Linked DNA regions of Schizosaccharomyces pombe. Changing the gene in region 3 together with the main gene of any one other region gives a genetic interaction. Each region holds a gene or a part of one and is shown on either strand. Other genes may lie near its edges. The genes, in order: myo2, cdc4, mob1 and ppa2.

Region 1 (7,601 bases), on a different chromosome or scaffold from region 3:
TGGGTGTTGAGGTCTACCCTTCCTATGGAACTTCAAAAGGATTCTCGCTTAATTGTAGATTCGGTATTGGATACTGCTTATTATGGATTTTTGATGACTGTGATCGCATTCATAGCCGTTTCTCATTGCAGTGTAGGACATTCAGAACTGCAATCTTTTTTGCAGGAACTTCTAACAGAGGAAGAAACAACCCCTTTGCATCTGGATATTACTCGCTCGTTATCTCTTTTAGTTCGCCAAGGGTATTTAGATAGAGTGAAAGATGATACCCATAACCAGTTTGTTTATTATATTGGATCCCGTGCAGTAACTGAAATTTCTATTGAAGGCTTGAAATCATTCGTTACAGAGTTCTTTCCGGATTCAGACATTGATATGGATGCTCTATTAACCGAATATCGGCAGGAGTATCAGAATCAATCTTCCTCAAGTGCAGCATAGATGACTCTTAGGTTTTTACATTATGCTCGTCTCATGTTAATGCTATTGTATACTTACTCCGCTACTACAAAAAAATTCGTAATATTATTTAAGTTCCTATATGCGTGCTAATATCTCGATATAAATTTAAGATGTATATTTGGTTATATAGCGGGAATATTATGTACAGCTGTTAAATAAAAAAAATAAAAAAATAGCTCGTAAACTTATAAGAGAAGTATATGTCAGTATATATAATATAATTAATAAAGGTTTCATCATTACAAAATCATTTAACTTCATGCGGCGCGCAACTCATCTTCAAGGCTTGCAATGCGATCTCGTAAAGCTCTCACATCTATTAACGAATCTTTGTTCACTTTTTCCAAAGAAGCAATTCGTTTTTGTAACTCCTGCTCACGTTTTTCATATTGTACTTGAACGGAAAACATTTTTGCCTTTTCGCTATTTATTTGATCCTTCAGAGCTTTCAATTCAATAGCATGAGCCAAGTTGACATGTTGCAAAGATTGGCCAGTAGGTTGAGGTGATACTTCGGCCCCTTTTAACTCATTAACTTGCTTCTCTAAGTTGTGCTTCTCAAGATTAAGACGGTCGTAGTCTCGTTTCAAGTTCTCGTATAACGCTTGATTTGCATTTCTTTGCTGTAAATCAAAAATTGTCTTTCGTTGTGGAATATTTTTCAAAACGGGTTCCGTAGTTTTGACAGCCGGTATATTATTCTCCTTTCCGGACGGTCTATGTTCTTTAAGGCGATGTATCTCTGCCTCTCGCTTCTTGCAGGAATCAAGAGCAGAATTCAGTTCCTTTCGAGTATCAACCAGCTTCATTTCTACTTCTGAAAGCTTACTACGTATACTTTCATGATCAGCAACTTTGTTCCTTAAAAGGGTGACTTCCGAACGGAGGCTTCTAGTTGTTTTTACTTCTTCTAGTACCTTTTGATACTCAACTTCAAGCTTTCGTTTACTCTCCAACTCTGATTTCAAAGAGCGTAATTCTTCGTTATCTCGACTAGCTATCAATGCTTTACGCTTTTCATCTTCAAAGGTCTTACCGAGTTGACTGTACTCGTGCATTAAGTTAGTAATCTTCCTCTCAAGTTCGGGAACCTTAGATGCTTTTGGAGAAAGTTCATTTACTTGCTTCGTCAAACTCGATACCTTATTAGAGAGATCTTTATTCTCGGAGCTCGCCAACGAAAGCTTTTCCTTGTAGGACGCCGATTGCCGAAGAAGACTTTCATGATTAAAGGTCAAATCACGATGTTTTTTCGAAAGTTCCTGAAAGTTTGTATCGACGTCTTTTAACCCCTCCAAGTCCAGCTGAAGTCCTTCATATTTTTTCTTGTAATTCTCCAAGTCGCTAACTTTAAGAAGTAAATTCTCATGGATTTCTTGCAATTCAATGTACTTTAAAGAAGCATCTGACAAATTTTGGCATTTCTCTTCCTTATTTTCAAGCTCTTTCGTTAACGATTTGATGTTATTTAAACATTCTTTAACTTTGGCTTCCAGTTCTTTATTTTTGGTAGCCTGGAGCTGATAAAGTTGATCTTTGTCATTCAAGGATTCTAGTTCTTTCTTCAATTTCGGAAGCTGTTTGACATCGGCTTCCAAATAATTAACCTTCTCTTCTAAGTTATTTATTGTTAACTCTTGCACTCCTTTCAAGACGCTTAACTCTTCTTTCTGCTGTTTTAAAATAGAGACGTCGCTTATAAGAGTAGAATTTTCACGTTCTAATTTTTTGACTCGTTTGAGACTCTCAGATAAAGAACCTTCCTGCTGAATACTCTTTTCATTCATCTTCTGATTTGTCAGTCTCATTTCTTGAATTTCAGTTTTATAGTCAGAAATATATTTAGTGAGTTTATCAAGTTCAGCATCCTTGGTAACGATAGTTTCCTGTAAACTTTTACATTGTTCATTGAACTCTGCTTTTTCTGATAAAACAGTTGCATTGTTCTCACGTAAAGACTCAAGTTCTCCCTTTGTATCTAGCAAATCCTTCTCTTCCAAACTCAGTTTTTCTTTCAGTTCGTTCTGTTCTGATAACAAAGTCTCAACCTTGGAAGTTTTTTCTAGTAACTCACTTTCTAATTCGTTATTAATCTGTTTCAATGACGCTGACTCTCGTTGCAAATTTTCATTTTGCTGTTTTGTTTCGCTAAACGAATCTTCTATGTTTGCAAGCCTTTCCTGTGTTCGACGTAATATTTCCTCCTTATCAAGGGCTATCGCACGTTCAGTAGTAAGCAAATTTTCAACAGCAGTTAAAGAATTGTTGGTCTCGACGAGATCACGCTCTACCTCAGATTTTGAATTCTGTTGTTTTTTCAGCTCGTACTTCAGCTCTATGATTTCAGCATCTCGCTTTTTAAGCTGCTTATCATTTTGAGTACTACTTAATAAGGGCCTTAGATTGAAAAATAACTTAGCCCAAGGAAAAGTTCTAAATTCATTGTACACTTGCAAATTTGCTTGTAGTAATTTGATGGCTTGTATGTCCTTCAATCGCTTTTGAAAAATTTTTCTTTGAAGAAAGCCACGGATCCTTGTTTGTAGCATAGTCATCAGTCTTTGTAAAGTCGCTACGCGCCTCTCCTCTAATTCTGCTAAAACACCTGCTTTGAAAAATATTTTTGAAACACCAATTCGATAAGATGCTTCGTCAATTTTCAACTCCTCCAAAATCATGACAGAAGCACGTCGAGATTCCACATAGGTACCTGTTGGTAAATGCGCCATTATCTCATATCTGACTCTAAAATCATTAAATGGTAAACGGTTAGGAAAACCAGCCCTTGTGATTCTGATTCCTTCCAAAACACCATTACATCGAAGTTGTCCTAAAACGAGGGGTCTATTAAAGGTGTGCATTTTCTTTTCTTCGTTTGGAACAATACAACGAATAAAGTGAGGTTGGGTCGAGTTAAATTGATTCATAAGCTGATTGAGCTGCTCTTTATGCCTTTGAGCAACAGTTCGAAAAAGGCCCTTTTTCGTCCTTCCCCTAACAGTTTTAGTCTCAGTTTCCTGATAATCAGAAAATAGTGTAGCGACATGCTTGTTAGTAGATTGCGCAAGCAACTTAGCAACGTTTTCATTCAAAGGATCGGTGTTCTTCTCCAGCCAACCTTCTGTACTGTAAGGAACATCAGCGGCATAATGAGTCAAAATAAAACCTTGATCGGCAAACTTAAAAGGTTTATATTTTAGCGACTTGTTCCTCCAAAGAGCATCAAGTTTAGAAGTAAACGTAGCATCAGTTGCTTTCGGCATAACACATTCTTCATCCAAACATGAAAGAATACCTATTGGGTTTGCTTTCTCGATTAAATCAATAGTCGGCTGTAAATCATGTCCAAAATCAATGAAATCCCATACAATTTCTTCTTTCATATATTCTTCTTGCTCCAATACGAACATGTGATGGTTAAAGAATTGTTGCAACTTTTCATTTGTGTAATTAATGCAAAGTTGTTCAAAACTGTTTTTCTCAAAGATTTCGAAACCGGCGATATCTAAAATACCAATAAAGTAGCTTTGGGCATTGGAATGGTTCAAGGAAGTGTTAAGTCGCTTTACCAGCCATCCAAAATTCCTTTCGTATATGGCTTTTGCTAATGCTTCAATGGACGAAATGACTTGAGTTTGACTTCGAGCGCTGATAACCCATTCATGGCCTGCTTTAATACGAGGTCGAACAAGATTTTGTGAAAATAACTCCGGAGACACACCAAGCAAATGACAGAGCTTGTCAATCTCATCAGGATTGAGAAGACGAGCTATACCAGAGCGATCAGCACCGACATCAATATTTCCCATATGTAGAATAATGGAAAGTATATTAAATAAATCAAAGTTCTCTTTATCGTCAAATCCAAGAGTTTTAAAAGCAGCTAAAAGAGTTTTAAACTCTTCTTTATCGTCAACTCCATCAATAATGTGAACCGAATCCTTCAAATATCGATAATCATTACAGTTATCGGTTAAAAGAAGTTTGTTCTTGAGAGCAGTATCAGCACCACTTAAAAGCTGATAAAAAACATGGTAGTTTCTTTCAAACTCGTTCTGATGAACAACGCGAGATTTTTCAAGAAGATACCATTCTATGGCGGCATTCGAAATTTCCCCACTCAAAGAAAACTCAACTTTAATGAATTTTCCAAAACGAGAAGAATTGTTGTTGCGTACGGTACGAGCATTACCAAATGATTCGAGCACAGGATTCGTTTTAATGATCTGCTCTTCAACCTGACTAGAGCCAACGGTAGTCGAGCTAGCAATTGCTGCAAGATATTGGATGATTCTTTTGGTATTCTCTGTTTTACCTGCGCCGGACTCACCAGTTACAAGAATCGATTGATTTTCCTTATTTTCTAAAAGGTTATTGTATGCTAAATCCGCGATTGCGAAGACATGAGGTAGCTTGCGCTCTTGTGTTTTATCTTTGTACAATTGAATGATGTCCTTCGTATAGATTGGTAGTCCACAATAAGGATTGACCGCAACGAGAAAGAGCCCAGAATAGGTATAAATTTGATCAGAGAGATATCTCTGTTCAAGATTGTATGTGACTGCAGGCTCGTTTAAGTATGTCAACTCAGCCATGTCATTGACTCTATCAAACTTGGCAGGATTCACCGGATCAATTTCATCCTCACCAACGATCTTCTCATCCCTGGAATTATTATACCGAACAACATATTTCTTGTCTGGCAGATCCTCTTTAATCCAAGCCTTGGTAAAGGCAGTCTCTGGGTCGGAAATCCAAACCCATCGTTTATCATCAATATCCTTCAGACTAGTTGCACCATCTTTTGCAGTTATTTTATTAGATATTACTTCTGTCATCGGGCTACTCTCTAAGACGGTTATTTACCGCCTTTCCTGAAAATAAACAATGCGGTGTACAATACCAAAACCTTGTAAAACAATAAGGATAGACCAAAAATCAAAGAGTGAAAAAATCCAAAAAGATAGCAATAGATATATCCGAAAAGAAGGATCAACAAATGCACAGAGAAAACGTTAAAGAACTATGTTGTTGGATACTTTTTGTACTCCCCGTTGAACGCACAGCAATTAATGATTTAAGCACTTGAACATTCGATTAACGCATGCGTTAATCGAACGTTTATGTACTTGATCATATTTGCGTTAAAACATTTAGTATAGGTTAAGGTAGCATCCAGAAACATTCCTATAACATAATGATTTTAATATCACAATTAAGAAGGTATATATATCTTTTAAAAGAAATAATATTAATAGATGGAGGTCATTATATACTCGGTCTTTTGCAATTAAAGTCCTGACAAATTTTTAAAGCTTTACTTTCATCAAGATTGAAGATATTAAGTAATAATTGAAAATACATTGTACTAATACTCAAAACATCAAATGAACGTAGGATTAGGGGTTACGGTTTAATCGAAATTTCATGTTCCCCCGTGCTTTTAGGTAAAATGATTGTATAAAAAACTCCCGCTATTACAGATATATGAGTAATTTGTGACTAGATACGCAAATAATATGTTCCTCATCGTACCGAACACAACTTTTAAAGCAAATAACTAAACTCGGCATTTATTTATCTACATTTTATATATAGCACTCTAATCATGCCTCTTACTGAATAATTATAAGAACACGCTCTAGCTAATAATCGCAATCAGTAATTATTATGTGCTTACTGACCATCTACAGCTATGGCCCTGGTAATAATCAATAAGTAAATATACAGAAATGTTAGTTGCTTCAGTTAGTGTTTGAAAGAAAGCATGGTGCTTCAATGTGTAACCACATCTTTAAACTTATGATCAAAACATGCAGAATACCATAACCAGTTACGTAAAAAAACAACAATGTTCTCTGTTTTCATCAACTGTAGTCGGCAAGTTTATGCAACTTGTACAATAAGCCAATTTTGGCTTAACACTGAACATAATGATAGTAGCGATCATTTTAAGTAATTAAAAAATGTTAATGCATGCAGATTTTAATATTCCTTTGTGATAAAATGGGTAGGGAAATGTAAAAAAAAAAAAAAAGAAGAAATAAAATTTCAAGGCTGCGATAAAATATGATTCGAAAGATGCAGGATGTTCCGTAAAACAAAATAAGATAAACGTTTCCGATATTCAAAAGTATGGATGAGTAAAAAAGACAATCATGGCAAGAAAACTTGTAATAAATATGATAATTATCAATCTTCAATTATGAAGGAGTTTGTTTTTGCCTTATTTAAAGCGAGTATCAAATGGCGATCGTGATACTGAGGATGAACCATGCCAAACATTATATATTTCCCATTGGCTAGCCAATCACTGTTACTAGGGTAGTATTTAATGTCATTTCCTTGGATAATTTGATTAAGTTTCCTAGTTCGCGTGTTCCATATTTCGACAAATTCATCATTAAATGCAATGAGATATCCATGACAGCTGGTAACAGAGTTCGGTTTGCCAATCCAATCAAACCAACACTCTTTATTAACCATACTACCCTCTCCATTGACAAACACGGCACCGAATTGATAGCAGCATGCAAATAAGCTAGGATCGTGGATGCGAAAGACGCCAAGCGGCTTACTGTTGTTGATTCGGTTCCGAAACAACGTATCATTAAGCACTGAAGGGCTTGGAAAACCAACTGCTAATTTAGGGTCCAAACGCAGAACGTCAATGCCTTTATTGTGACAAAGAGCAATTGAATACTTAAAGCAATCAATTGAATGACAGTTAGCCGTTACGTGAAAATCATCCAGAGTTCTGAAGGAAGTAACATCTTTTCTCTTGAAGGCATATGTTTTCTGATAGTTATGTCCTAAGCCGATCACTGGTTCACAGCAAATTATGGTTGTAGTATTACCGAGTCCCTCTTTATAAAAAACCAAAGTTCGCTCACGTTTAACAGAAGCCCCCTCAGACAATTTACCTATTTTAAAGAATGATACGGCATGCGGAGTTCCAATGACAACTGCAATTTTGGATTCGATCAGACCCATTTCAATAATACGACTTAATTTATGAGCATAAAGGGTTTTGTCACGTAGCTCTAATAGGATATCAAATTCCTCAACAACTCCAAGCTGGGTAACGCGTCTTTGACTAGAGATCTTTTTCCAATCGCGAATGTCACTGGAATCACCAA
Region 2 (4,255 bases), on a different chromosome or scaffold from region 3:
TATATGGTTGCTGCTAATTTTGTAAAACTTGCTAAAGTAGTTGGACCATCTCTTATTAAAGATGAACTTATTAAACCATTCGTACTGCTCATGAAGGATACCGAGCAGGAAGTCCGCCGTGCTATTGCTACTCAAATACCAGGATTTTGCGAATTGTTGGATAAGCGAATTGTTCTTGAAGAGATTATTCCAGTTATTCAAGAGTTAATTAATGATCCCGCTCAACATGTCCGTGCTGCTTTAGGGATGAACATAGGTGCTCTCGCCCCACAATTAGGAAAGGAAAAGTATGTCTGCTAAAAATAACTTTTCTTTTAAAAACCTCATTTTACTAATCGTTATATTTAGGACTACAGAGTATCTTTTACCAATGTTTTTGGAATTACTTAAAGATGAAAACCCTGAAGTTCGTCTTAACATTATTTCGAAATTGGAAGTTGTAAACAAAGGTAAATTGCAAATTCAAAATATAGCTATTGCTACAGTTATACTAACTCACTTTAGTCGTTGGTATCGAATTACTTTCACAATCTTTATTGCCTGCAATTGTTACACTTGCTGAAGATAAACAATGGCGTGTTCGTCTTGCTATCATTGACTACATTCCACTACTTGCTCAGCAGCTTGGGGTCGAATTTTTTAATGAGAAAATGGGCAATTTATGTATGTCATGGTTAGAGGACCATGTATATTCTATTCGTGAAGCTGCGATAAAGAATTTGCGAAAACTTACGGAAATTTTTGGGTTGGAATGGGCAACTGAGACAATTATTCCAAAGTTTTTGGCTATGCGAAGCCATCCAAATTATTTATACCGAATGACAACTATTTTTGCGATCAGTGTAAGTTTTTCTTTTTTGCTTTTTTCCAGTTCTAACGTATTTTAGGAAATCGCACCTGCATTGAATGCTGAAGTAATTGAAAAACAAATTCTTCCAACTTTGGAACAGTTGGTTAATGACCCTATTCCTAATATTCGCTTTAACGTTGCCAAGGCGTTTGAAGTTCTTAAGCCTGTTTTGGCAGCTGGTGGTGACTCGACCGTATATGAACAGCAAATCATCCCATTGCTCGAACAACTTACAAAAGATAATGACCCTGATGTTCAATATTTTGCTACTCAGGCCTTAGAGCAAACAAATGACTAATTGTTGGGTTATATGATTGCATGTCTAAATGAGCCAAAAGTTTTACCTTTATGATTTGTGTTCACTATGTAAAAATGCAAAAGAATGGACTGTCTTGACTCTGGCCATTCGTTCGACATCAAGTGTCAAGCCCTACATCTAATTCAAAGCATCGTATTGACACACAGTAAATTAGATATACAAGATATACACGATATGGCAAAATTGGAGCCGAATGCATCAAGAAAGCTGGCATCAACCGTAATTACTTACGAAAAGTGTAATTTTGAATGAAAACTTATATTTACATCTGGAGAGATTCAAACAATTTAAGCAGCTGAGATATAAGGTCATTTGCATGAGATAACAAATGGTTGTTAATCATATTCATAAATATACGAATATAGAAGGATATCTCTATTTCCGTATGCTAAACGATATGTGTAGAAATTCCTGCGAGTATCGAAAAGTCCAGTTATCTGTATTCAGGAACATATTGCTTCATAGTCCCAAGTGTATCAGATGGAAAAGCTGAACGAAAGTAAACTATTGAAGACATAAAATTGAAATAAAGGTGTAAATAATAAAGGAGAAACATATGCCGGGTAAATTATGCAAACTATGTAGATTTAATTAATTGGCAAGAATCATTTGAACGAAATCTAAAGGAAGCAGTTAGTATAATTAAGTATAGGTAGTTGATTGCCGAAGCCCAGAGTAGTAATAGAGCATACCGTGATAATTAACCATGCCATCTTTTACGGGAACACCCTTTAATAACTCGTCCATTTCTTCGTTGCTGAGTTTTTCACCCAAAGAAGTTAAAACTGATACAATTAGTTTCGCATTTTTTTATCAATCTGAAAAAAGGATAGATCTCTATAAATACATACCATAGCGCAATTCACCCACTCCAATCATGCCAGTGGCATCTTTATCAAACACCTGGAAGCCCTTCACGAATTCCTCTGGGTCACCAGGCATATCAAACCCATTGGGACGATTTAACACTTGAAGGAATTGTTCCATATCGACTACCAATTAGTATTGTCACTTAATGCACGGCTAAGGAGTATAACTCTCCAAACCCATAACAAGAAATCATACCTTCTGCGGGCAAAGTAGATTCAATTTCAGTAATCTCAGCCAGCGTAGGATTTTGTCCACACGCTCTTAAAAGATCACCAATGGACGTTTTGGGGATGCGACCAGTTCCATGGCGGTCAAATAAAGAAAAAGCTATCTTTTCGTTAATAAACATTTTGAAATGATTTCAAAAAGTAGTTATTACCTTGTTTATAAGGTGAATCGTCTGTCGACATGTTTGACTATTCTAAATGGATTGTTAGGATGAAGGTAAGTGTACTAAGTCGACTGTAATCTGTGTACACGCACCTATAAGCCCCATAGCAACCGTTGCCATGATAATGTTTACTGTATAGCGATCTGTTTAGTAATTTACTAAAGAACGTAGAGCTATGTAAACCAGCTTATATGAACAGAATTGTCATTTACTTTGCCAGATTTTAATTTAGAACATCATTCGTATACAGAATATGAATAGTCATACTAATGTCGAGCTACTTGATAAATTATGAAATGGCTGGCGATTTCACTATTTCTAGTGCAATACAAAATACGAGAGTCACCGGAACACGAGAAATACAGTACTGATGCACTTCATAAATTCAATAATCACATCAGAATATCAGATATCATTAACTTGTTAACCTCAAAAGACTAATCTACCGGAAAGCCAACGCTGTCCACCAGACTTCTAATTTTCGGCGTTTGTGTACCAAAAAGGCAGTCACAGATGGTATATCTAAATTTTCGGGCTCACAAAATATGCATTGAGTAAAAGTAAAATAAACGAATCAATATGTTTTTATATGTTGCTTTAATGCGTGGTTTATATAATTGAGCGAATCTTGGAAATAAGTATTTTGATAAGCAATGTATATATTCTCATATCCCAGTGGTACATGACAGTAAACATTGTAGGAAACGTAATTATTAAATATTATATATCAATCCCTTTTAACATTAATTTATGAATTAATAAGAAACCGAAAAAAGGCTTTATTTTATGTTTTTACGCTCAACCTTCAATTTACTTTCAAGTAATTAAATAGCAAGTGAAATCTAGAAATTGATACAAAACAAAGGACTTATAAATTTGAACAAATTTTTAAGCGATGATGTCCAGAAATTGCCTACTACTTGTTTCGCAGTTCCGATGACTTAGAGCCATTATCACTGGATCATCTTATTACTGGACTACATATATTTTTCGTTGGCGCTGCTTCGAACTCAGACAGAACCAACCTTCGTCGTAGTAAAGGACCTTTAATAGTGTTTACTTACTTGGCATTCAACAACTTAGGAAGCACTCTTTGACCTAAATTTATTAATTCTATTTAATAAGCCATGTCTCCGGTAAGTAACCCCAATTGGGCATCCAAAGAATTTTGCTAGTAAAAATTTTCATCAGTCGGAGAAACAGTACTGAAAGTTATCTTATTGAGTTATATAGTAGATTTTACTATGCGGATAACAAATTTGTTTTTGCTGATGAATTTTTAGGCAATTGAAATTTTAAATTTTTTTGTTTCTTTTTTTTGAAATTTTTATTGCTTTATGTTGATTGCTATGTCCAGCATGTTTGGTCTTTTTTTTTAATGTCAATTTGCTAACATTATTCAATTAGGTTTTTTTACCCAGCGGTGAAACTTACGATCAAGAGCATCTTGATGACAACCGTGTCTTAGGTTACAACCCTTTGGTTCCTGCCGCTTTGGTTCAACAAGAGATTCCTGTTTCTGAAACTTCTCGCAAAGTCATCACTGACTCCAGAAAGGAGATTCAAGCTATTCTCAACAAACAAGATGACAGAATTATCGTTGTTGTCGGTCCTTGCTCCATTCATGACCCTAAATTGGCCATGGACTATGCTAAGTTGCTGAAGCCCAAAGCTGACGAGCTTCAGGATGCTTTGTGCGTTGTCATGCGTTGTTATTTGGAGAAGCCCCGTACTACTATCGGATGGAAGGGTTTGGTCAACGACCCTAACTTGGATGGTTCTTTTGCTATCAACAAGGGTATTAGGATGGCTCGTCAAATGTATT
Region 3 (2,953 bases):
GAAACTCATAGATATATCATAACAACGATGAATTCATTGATCCTTACCCACATGGACGGTTGCTTTCCTTCTTTCCATCCTCAGATCATCAAAACTAAAAAAAAAAAATAAGATGAAAAGCAAAAAGACTAAAATAATAGGGAATTAAAAAGTTCAGATTATTTCGCACATTTACTATCTCACATCCACCACCATTCAGTAAGTAGTTTCTCAAATAACGATGCAGTCTTTTTCGGTATTTAACAGAAACCTGAAATAAAGATTCCAGAGACATATGATACATGAAATGTTATAAATAAAATGAATTGTATGAAGATAGACACTTTAGAGAATGCGAGAATATTTTGCACAAGTAGCCTATGCAAAGGCGATATGCCACACTTTTCAAAAGTAGTTAAAAGAATGCAGTGTCATAAGAAAAAAGTGGAGGAGTAGAAAGAGTAATTTTAGCAACTATTCTTTATGGTAATCACTCAAGTGAATGATTGAAATGAAAAGAAGAAATTTTCCATAAAAAATTGTGCTAAGGTCTGGATAAAATGGTAATGGTAGGGATAAAATAAAACATTAAATTGGTAAGTTTGGGAACCGAGTTTACCTCCCATTTCCTGTTCCTGAATAACTACAAAACTGTTCTTAAACCATGCTATCTACCAAGTCTTGCATTGGTGCATATTCCTTGTTATCCATAAGGCTGAAATTTGTTGTTAACATCTTTAAGTAAGTAAATTGAAACACATACCCAAATTCCCTACAGAAAAATACAAAGTGTTTAAATGATGTATTCAGATAGCTTTCAAGCTCCATTGCTACCATTACGTGAAAGTGGGAACAGTAAATATGAGCATAAATGCGAAACAACCTTCGAAATATTTGCTGAATCACTTTGCGAAAATTCTTTGGGAATTCAACACCAATCTCAGTGGGGAAGAGCTTCTTGTCATCCAACTTTTCTTGAGTCCAATCCAACAGATTGTTAATATAGTCGGGAGCACTCATGCGAGTGGGTTTGGTGTATATTTTATCATCCTGCCAGTAATATTCATAACTTGGTCCAGCATTCATTTGAGGACAGGAAGCCGCCGTACAAAATTCAGTGATTGTACCATACAACATATTAATTTGTGTATAAAAATCCATTGCTAGAAGTATTCAATTAATAAAAGTTCTTGAAGTGTCAATTTTATATCTTAGCTTACTGTTCATAGCAATCCATTCATTCAAATCTTCTCCCTTGGGCAGTTTTACTGCTTCCATCAAAGAGCCAGATCCCAGCGTTGCTTCAGCATATTGCCGTAGTTGATAATGCTTCGTTCCCGCTTCAGTCTTCCTTACACGGAATGTCTTCGCTGTCTTATTACTAAATCCAAACATGAAAGAAAATGCAAAAAAGTTGGTATGAGTTGGGTTCTGGTAGGCTTGGTTTGTGCCAACCTTCCACTCATCGTCCCTTCCTCGTAAACAAACGTGGTCATTCTACCGTTCAACTTTCAAGACCATCCAGCCAACCAATATTAAGCGCAAATTAATTACTGGAATACCTATCATATTCATACGACCGTATGTTTAGGTCCGAGCACTTTTACAAATTGACAACGTACGATCGCTACTTCTTTACCCACTGCCTATAACCACTGACATTCCCTGAATTACACTTTGGTGCTAAACGTGCGGCTAAGAAATTAAAAAGAAAGCAGAGAGCTTTTAATTTTCTTTTTGGGATTTTTTTTGCTCAAATTGGTGTCTATTTAGTGTTCGTGTACGACTTTTACTGTGCGGTGAGAAACGCGAAAGGGCATCACTAAAACCGACTTTGCTAACTTTCTCTGGATTCTATTTAACAGTCTTTTATTTCTTGAGATTTGATTTAGGTTCCTTTAATTCATTTAGGTTTGACAACATGACATGCAGAATTGCGATTCGCAAGTATTCATTCATATTATGTTTGGCTGTTGGTTCAGTTACCATTTATACCTCGGAAGTTATTGGAACTCCTCTGTATTTTGTCAACAAGGAGCTTTATAACAAATATATTGCTTTTACAAAATCATTCGCCGGTATTCTGTTTACCGCTTTGGTCCAGCTTTTTAGTCCGACTCCTGTAACTCTCACCTATGATCCCGAGCTTCGAAATTTGTTTTATTTGGATAGAAATGGTTGCTTGGAAACAATTGCTGCTGAACGCAACATAGTTATCGCAAACCATCAACTTTACTCGGACTGGATGTACGTTTGGTGGTTATCGTACACTGCTAAACAGCATGGTCATGTTTATATTATGTTAAAAAACTCTCTCAAATGGTTGCCAGTTATAGGTTGGGGTATGCAATTGTTTAGATTCATTTTCCTTTCTCGCAAATGGGACAAAGACTACGAGACTATGTCTCGTCATTTCAAGTTCATTCGCAATGTACGTGATTCCGTCAGTCTCATTCTCTTCCCAGAAGGAACCAACTTGGTTGAAAGCACATATCAAAGGAGCAGGGTGTATGCCGATAAAATTGGAGTCAAAATGCCAAAGCATTTAATGCTCCCACGTGTGCGAGGGCTCTTTTATAGTATCAGTCAGCTTCGTGATTCGATGACTTATTTGTACGATTACACATTTTATTTTTCTGATCCCTCTCCTAAGAAATATGCCGCCGATGCTTTCTCTTTACCTAAGCTCTTTTTTGAAGGAGTCCCCATCAAAAGGCTTCATATTCACGTTCGTCGCTTCCCAATTTCGGAAATTCCCACTGAAGAAGATCAGTTTACGGATTGGCTTTATCAAAGATGGTATGAGAAAGATAAACTTATCGATACGCTTCTTGAAACAGGGAATTTTCCGGGCCCTAAGAAATTGCATACGACTGTTCGATTGAAGCACAGACTTGAAATTCTTTCTTTGTTTTCCGTACTTTTCACGTGCATTGTTGCTGGGTTGTTCCTCAAACTATTCATTTCTCACTAG
Region 4 (5,923 bases), 1.8 Mb from region 3:
AAAGGAGAAGGAGCAATTGTTAAAAGAAAAAGAATTAAGACAAAAAGCACTGGACAAGGAGAGAATGGTTTCTTCCAAACCAGAAACCAACCCAAAAACACCAATCTCATTAAAAGAATTGAAAGATATCGAAATATATCAAAACCAGTTCCATTACTCGGCTTATGAAATTTTAGAGGAAGAAAAAATACTTGATAATATTTTTCGCAAGTTTACTGCATTACCTATCAAATATTGGCCGGCAACACCAATACGAGGATAGAACGTTTTATGAATTGATGATGTTCAATAGAGTAGAAAAATTTCCTGCATATTAATGAAGGATACGCTTAATATTCAATAAATGTCACCAATCTTCATGAATACATTATACATAAGTATATTGCATTTCTTCTACATTGAACTATGATTAATGATATATACCAATTCCTTAAAATAATTAAGGCTAGTGAAAGAATACGATAATTTTCAATCTAATACTGTTGTATTGTTTTATGCAGGTGCTGTACCTTGTAAAGTGATGAATGATACTACTGTAAACATCTAAATATTGGATAATATTATAATCTCCAAATAGTTTATAGCTGGACGGAAGAACGTAAATCCAGCTATGTTCTTATACGGAACCTAGTAAAATAGACTGGAAAATTATATCTGATAAAACAAAATGATCTCTAGCGTACCATAATATTGGAATTTGAAAGATATAGGATTTTCGATTCGTGATGATATATGTACTGCACAGTCTAGCACTATACTGTACTGATCGTTAAAAGTAGCTGTAAAATTATGTTAATTTTTTATTGTGTACTTCGTTATTTTTCGGAGAACTTCGGATATGTAGTTTCATCAATCGGTGAATTCGGTAAATACAACTAACCTTCTTAGCAAATCACAGCACCCACAAACGCCGCCATTTTTAAACCAGAGGCAGCTTGACGTTTCTTCCCCAACCGCTACCCACCGAATATTTCAACAACCTGTTTCTCTTTAAAACGTTGTAAAAATGCTGGCCAAGCAATTTATTTCTAAGTCGTTAGCATCTTCGTTAAGACGGTTGCTTCCCGTTTCAAGCACTGCTTCGTCGTTGAAGGGCTCAATGATGACCATCCCAAAATTTACCTCTATTCGTACATATACTGACTCTCCGGAAATGCCAGACTTTTCGGAGTATCAAACAAAGAGCACTGGTGATCGTTCTCGTGTTATATCTTATGCCATGGTAGGCACAATGGGTGCTCTTACAGCCGCTGGAGCTCAAGCTACTGTTCATGATTTCTTGGCGAGTTGGTCTGCATCTGCTGATGTGTTGGCTATGTCGAAGGCCGAGGTTGATTTGTCGAAAATTCCAGAGGGAAAGAACCTTGTCGTCAAATGGCAGGGTAAGCCTGTTTTTATCCGTCATCGTACTCCTGAAGAAATCCAAGAAGCCAATTCTGTAGATATTAGCACTCTTAGGGATCCTCAAGCGGACTCTGACCGTGTTCAAAAACCCGAGTGGCTTGTTATGATTGGTGTCTGTACTCATCTTGGTTGTGTACCCATTGGCGAAGCTGGTGACTATGGCGGATGGTTCTGCCCTTGTCACGGTTCTCATTATGATATCTCTGGTCGTATTCGCCGTGGTCCTGCACCTCTTAACTTGGCGATTCCTGCTTATACGTTTGAAGGAAGCAAAATTATCATCGGATAAAATTTATTTCGCTCAAAAACTTTTGTCCTAGCTGATTTCCTCCCTCCTTTTTCTCCCCTCTCTTTTACTTCTTCTTTAGCCTGTTGGGGATCAAGTCATATGCTGTCTTACTTGCTTCTTATTTTTATTTGTCCAATGCACTTTCTCATAGCCTTTGTTGGTCCATTTGGCTTATACAGCAGTCAAGATGGCAATTGCAGACTTCCTTTTTCTTGTTATAGTCATTTACTGATACAAACCCCCTTCTCATTCTCAATTAATGCAACCTTGAATCTCTTATTCCAAGACGTAAATCAATAATTTTGTATGTGACGCCTGATTCATGCAAGTCAGATGGTTCTTATTTTATCGTAGTCTAATGTAACTTTACTTTCCCTTTGGTGGTAGTTTCTTAAACCGCTAAAAATATATATAATCCTTGAGTACTCTTCTTGCCTTCAAGGTTTGTGAAATGCAAAAGTATCCCCTTATACTTGAATAAAAAAGTTGTACAATTCAAATATGTAGTTATTGTAGGTTTATCTGACAAGTATCAATAATAAATAAATATCTAGACAAATAAACCATTTTTTTTCTTTAAAAGTTCTTTATAGACAAACTTCTACAAATATGGAATCATGAAGCTGGCTTAAAAAGTTTGGTCATAAAGCTTTAGGATGTTTAATTCATTACAGCACATGACTGCTTAAGCATGCCTAATTCTAACTCATAATATTGTCTCAAAACAATACCATCCAACTATGCAGCAGTCGTTAATCGCTATCACGACATATTAAATAGCAGATATTTCTCGAAGAAATAAGTCCACAACCAAAAATCCTAGTGTGCTTATCAAAATTAACAAGAATATTTCACGTACGTATAAGACACGGTTGCAATGGCTTGAAGTGGAATACATATAAGGATTTTAAGATTTCCTTGCAAAAAAGGTACTTGACAAGTCCTGGAAATGAAAAGACAGTCTGAAGATTCGTATGCGGAGGATGTACAAAGTAGTCTTTTTAATCTTGAGTATTAACTCAAAAATCAGAAAGGTGGATAAATTTTTTGAAACAATCACAATCGATTGATCACTCATTAGAGAATTGAAACTTTTAAAGGAAGTAGTCTGGTGTCCTTCGAGCTATTACCGGTTCGCCTTCTCGTGGGGCAGGATCGAATTGTAAAAAGACTTGATTCATCGTATCATCAACTTCCAAAATAGCTGCTTGATTACCACAGCGATAACAATAATTTGGGGCAGAAAAAATTGTAACTACGTCTCCATCATGTGCCCAATTAAATCCTTCCATAACTAGCTGATGGGCTCGTGCCGTTAAACTTAATCCATTTGCGTGATTAAATGTCTCAGAAATGTCTTGTCCGAAGGTGTATCCGGCACCACGAGGAGAAATTCCCCAACCACATCTATCATCAGGGTCTGACCAAAGCAAATCACACATCGGACCTTCATGGGGAACTTCTTGTACACGATCCAAAGTCCGTACATGGTCTAATGAATCAATGCTCGGGGAAAGACCTCCATGTAGGCAGAAAATACGGTCTTCAATTAAAGCAGTTAAAGGGAAATAGTCAAATAAATTTGTGAAATGTTTCCAAACATTAGCGGATCCATATTTACGCAAACATTCATCATAAAATCCGTAAACTTGAGTGATTTGTCTAGATTCATGATTTCCTCGAAGAATCGTAATTCGGTTAGGGTAGCGTAACTTCATTGCAACAAGCAAACTTACAGTTTCGACGCTGTGATAACCTCTGTCAACATAGTCACCCATAAAAAGATAGTTCATATCAGGCACATCACCTCCAATTTTAAATAATTCCATCAGATCATGAAACTGTCCATGAATATCACCGCAAACAGTAACTGGATTTCGGACAGGTTGGACATTATTTTCCTGACATAAAACCTCACGAGCCTAGAAAAAATGGTTAGCAAAAACTGCGAAAACACGAAAAATGCTGGTATAGATGAGAGTCTCCGACGTAATTTTTAACCACCATATATTTATAGGATGAGATTTCTAGAAACCCGACATTAATGTAATATTAATCTTTTTAGAAATCAAACCGAAATAAGCTGGATAGTTCAAACTCAAACATATCAAACTGAACAATCTCAAGAAATCAAGAGAAAATGAGAACTTGCAAAGTTGGGATATATCCAACCAAGCCTGATACACATATATACTCTCCTTAGTGTTCACTTACCTTATCGCATAACATTTCAACGTCAGCTTCGCTCAGAGGCTCGCATTTTTTCAACTGTTCGATCCATCTGTCAACGTCTCCTAGAGTAGCGTCATTCGCCTCCGGAGCAAGCTTACTATCATTTGCTGGATCTATAGACATTAATTATGGAATTTTGTATATAGTAAAAAGCAAGTTATAAGTCTTTCTAACCGTGTGTTGCTTTTGGTAAGTTGAGACCGTTACAGAGGTGACAGGCTACTCTTGCGTATCATCAGCTTGCTAACAAGCTATGGCAAATCGACTTTATGTGTAAACAGCATAGCGATCTGGTATACAATTAATAATATAGAATATTTGCATTTCTTATTTATTGATTACTAACCTGGATTTTTCTCAACAGTTTGCGCTTACTATGTGAATTCACGAGATTGCTGTGTAGCGTTTTCTAAGGTACTAGAGAAATTACGAGCTCACTGGCATTTTTTAATAGAATGGGTTATTATTAGTCTTTTCGAGAAGAAGCGTACATAGTTTTCAAAACCGATGCTGTATAAAGTTTCACGCATAAATGCTGAGAAGTACAGTTTACCTATAGTCGGTGGAAAAAGATAATTCCACTCTAAATCGGACTTAACGACAATTCTTGAACAGTACACAGAGATGAAATTTTGGCTTAATAGCTTCACTCAATGATAGAGCTTGACAATTACAACGATGAGACCAAAAGCAATACGCTTCTTAAACACTTTCAAATAAGTAATAAACATTTTATATTAATCCCACTACTCAAAATGTATCACATATTCCCTAACCAAAAATCTATAAATTAACTAAATCAAATGCTTAACTTTGGCAGTAGTATCACGAGATTGAACTTCTTTGGCCATCGACTTCTTATATTCCTCAATGGAGCAGTCCAATTTCACAACCTTCTTGTCTTTAACTTCCCACAACTCTTTAGAAACTTGACCAATTAGACGGAAATCGTGAGAAACCAAAACAACACCACCAGTCCATACGTTAATGGCTTTGGCTAGGGCATCAATAGAGGTAATATCCAAGTGATTCGTAGGTTCATCAAGTAAAAGAATGTGGGGTTGTTCCAAAGCGAGTGCTGCAAACACAACACGGCTTTTCAAGCCATCAGATAAAGTACGGATTTCACTGGTTTGGTGAAGACCAGACAAACCGAATTTGCCCAAAACGCTGCGCCATTGCTGAAGTTCTCTCTCGGGAAATTTAGGCTTGTAAGTATCCATGATGTATTCAAGTGGAGACTTGTCATAGGGAAGCTGATCGGCACTGTGCTGAGAGTATTTAGCCATCTTCAATCCACTGTAACGAGAGACATTGCCTTCAATGGGAATCAAAAGCCCAGTGATTAAGTTCAACAATGTAGACTTTCCGGTACCATTTTTACCCACAATGGCGACACGGGAGTCCATATCGATACCAAAGGACAAGTCACGGTACAAAGCGTGATCAAGATTACCATCATAAGAGAAAGCAACGTCGTTAAAAGCAATGATAGGTGGTGGTAATTTGCGAACTTCATCAAATTCAAAGCTGAATTGACGAGGAGGTTCGGGCTTCTCAACTAAACCGGCAGCCTCCATTTTATCGATAATCTTTTGTTTCGACTTGGCTTGGCGTACCAAGTTTGCATAGGTACCAGCACTAGCAATAAACTTTTTAATATGAGCAATTTCCTCTTGCTGTTTTAAGTAAGCCTTCATCTGATTGGTTTCATTTTCTTCCTTAGTACGCATATAAATGTCGAAATTACCACCATAGTAGACAAGCTGCTTTTTAGAAGTTAAATCAATAATATTGGTACAGACGTTGTTGAGGAAATCTTGAGAGTGGGAAGTGACAACAAGAATTTTGTCGTATTTCGCTAAGTAATTCTCCAACCAAACAACGGCTTCTAAGTCCAAATGGTTGGTAGGTTCGTCCAAAAGAAGCAAAGAGGGTTTGATGAAAAGAGCACGAGAAAGTGCAACACGCATACGCCAACCACCAGACATGTCCTTT

Evidence for each region.
Region 1: of mob1 (region 3) and myo2, changing one suppresses a phenotype caused by changing the other (phenotypic suppression), as found in Schizosaccharomyces pombe (one study listed by BioGRID).
Region 2: mutations in mob1 (region 3) and cdc4 impair growth when combined (synthetic growth defect), as found in Schizosaccharomyces pombe (one study listed by BioGRID).
Region 4: of mob1 (region 3) and ppa2, a mutation in one rescues a mutant of the other (synthetic rescue), as found in Schizosaccharomyces pombe (one study listed by BioGRID).

The regions. Positions count from the first base shown.
Region 1 is NC_003421.2:1,232,731-1,240,331, forward strand, and holds myo2 (myosin II heavy chain myo2), read right to left. Parts: upstream 5,507-7,601; 5' UTR 5,301-5,506; coding exon 720-5,300; 3' UTR 501-719; downstream 1-500. Other genes in the region: Smc5-6 complex non-SMC MAGE family subunit Nse3, read left to right, coding at 1-441; RhoGEF for Rho1, Rgf3, read right to left, coding at 6,655-7,601. UniProt on the Schizosaccharomyces pombe protein: Required for cell division. It is a component of the cdc12 'spot', a structure thought to mark the site of septation. May work in conjunction with myo3.
Region 2 is NC_003424.3:5,327,412-5,331,666, reverse strand, and holds cdc4 (myosin II light chain cdc4), read right to left. Parts: upstream 2,480-4,255; 5' UTR 2,450-2,479; coding exon 2,419-2,449; intron 2,367-2,418; coding exon 2,235-2,366; intron 2,162-2,234; coding exon 2,021-2,161; intron 1,955-2,020; coding exon 1,862-1,954; intron 1,790-1,861; coding exon 1,761-1,789; 3' UTR 1,149-1,760; coding exon of another isoform or gene 888-1,148; 3' UTR 843-887; downstream 1-842. Other genes in the region: serine/threonine protein phosphatase PP2A scaffold subunit Paa1, read left to right, coding at 1-287, 349-449, 505-842, 888-1,148; SPOM_SPAP8A3.07C (phospho-2-dehydro-3-deoxyheptonate aldolase), read left to right, coding at 3,558-3,566, 3,838-4,255. UniProt on the Schizosaccharomyces pombe protein: Involved in cytokinesis. Required for the formation and function of the contractile ring.
Region 3 is NC_003423.3:468,752-471,704, forward strand, and holds mob1 (Sid2-Mob1 kinase complex regulatory subunit Mob1), read right to left. Parts: upstream 1,413-2,953; 5' UTR 1,375-1,412; coding exon 1,200-1,374; intron 1,143-1,199; coding exon 743-1,142; intron 695-742; coding exon 637-694; downstream 1-636. Other genes in the region: SPOM_SPBC428.12C (peptidyl-prolyl cis-trans isomerase E), read right to left, coding at 48-78; mlg1 (1-acylglycerol-3-phosphate acyltransferase), read left to right, coding at 1,901-2,953. UniProt on the Schizosaccharomyces pombe protein: Has a role in promoting the onset of septum formation during the latter stages of mitosis.
Region 4 is NC_003423.3:2,285,142-2,291,064, reverse strand, and holds ppa2 (serine/threonine protein phosphatase PP2A catalytic subunit Ppa2), read right to left. Parts: upstream 4,114-5,923; 5' UTR 4,049-4,113; coding exon 3,908-4,048; exon of another isoform or gene 3,747-3,907; intron 3,616-3,746; coding exon 2,788-3,615; 3' UTR 1,694-2,787; coding exon of another isoform or gene 1,007-1,693; 3' UTR 620-1,006; downstream 1-619. Other genes in the region: protein gem8, read left to right, coding at 1-262; Rieske iron-sulfur protein, ubiquinol-cytochrome-c reductase complex subunit 5, Rip1, read left to right, coding at 1,007-1,693; SPOM_SPBC16H5.08C (ATP-binding cassette sub-family F protein), read right to left, coding at 4,720-5,923. UniProt on the Schizosaccharomyces pombe protein: Essential role in cell cycle control. PP2A may be involved in controlling the entry into mitosis, possibly acting as an inhibitor.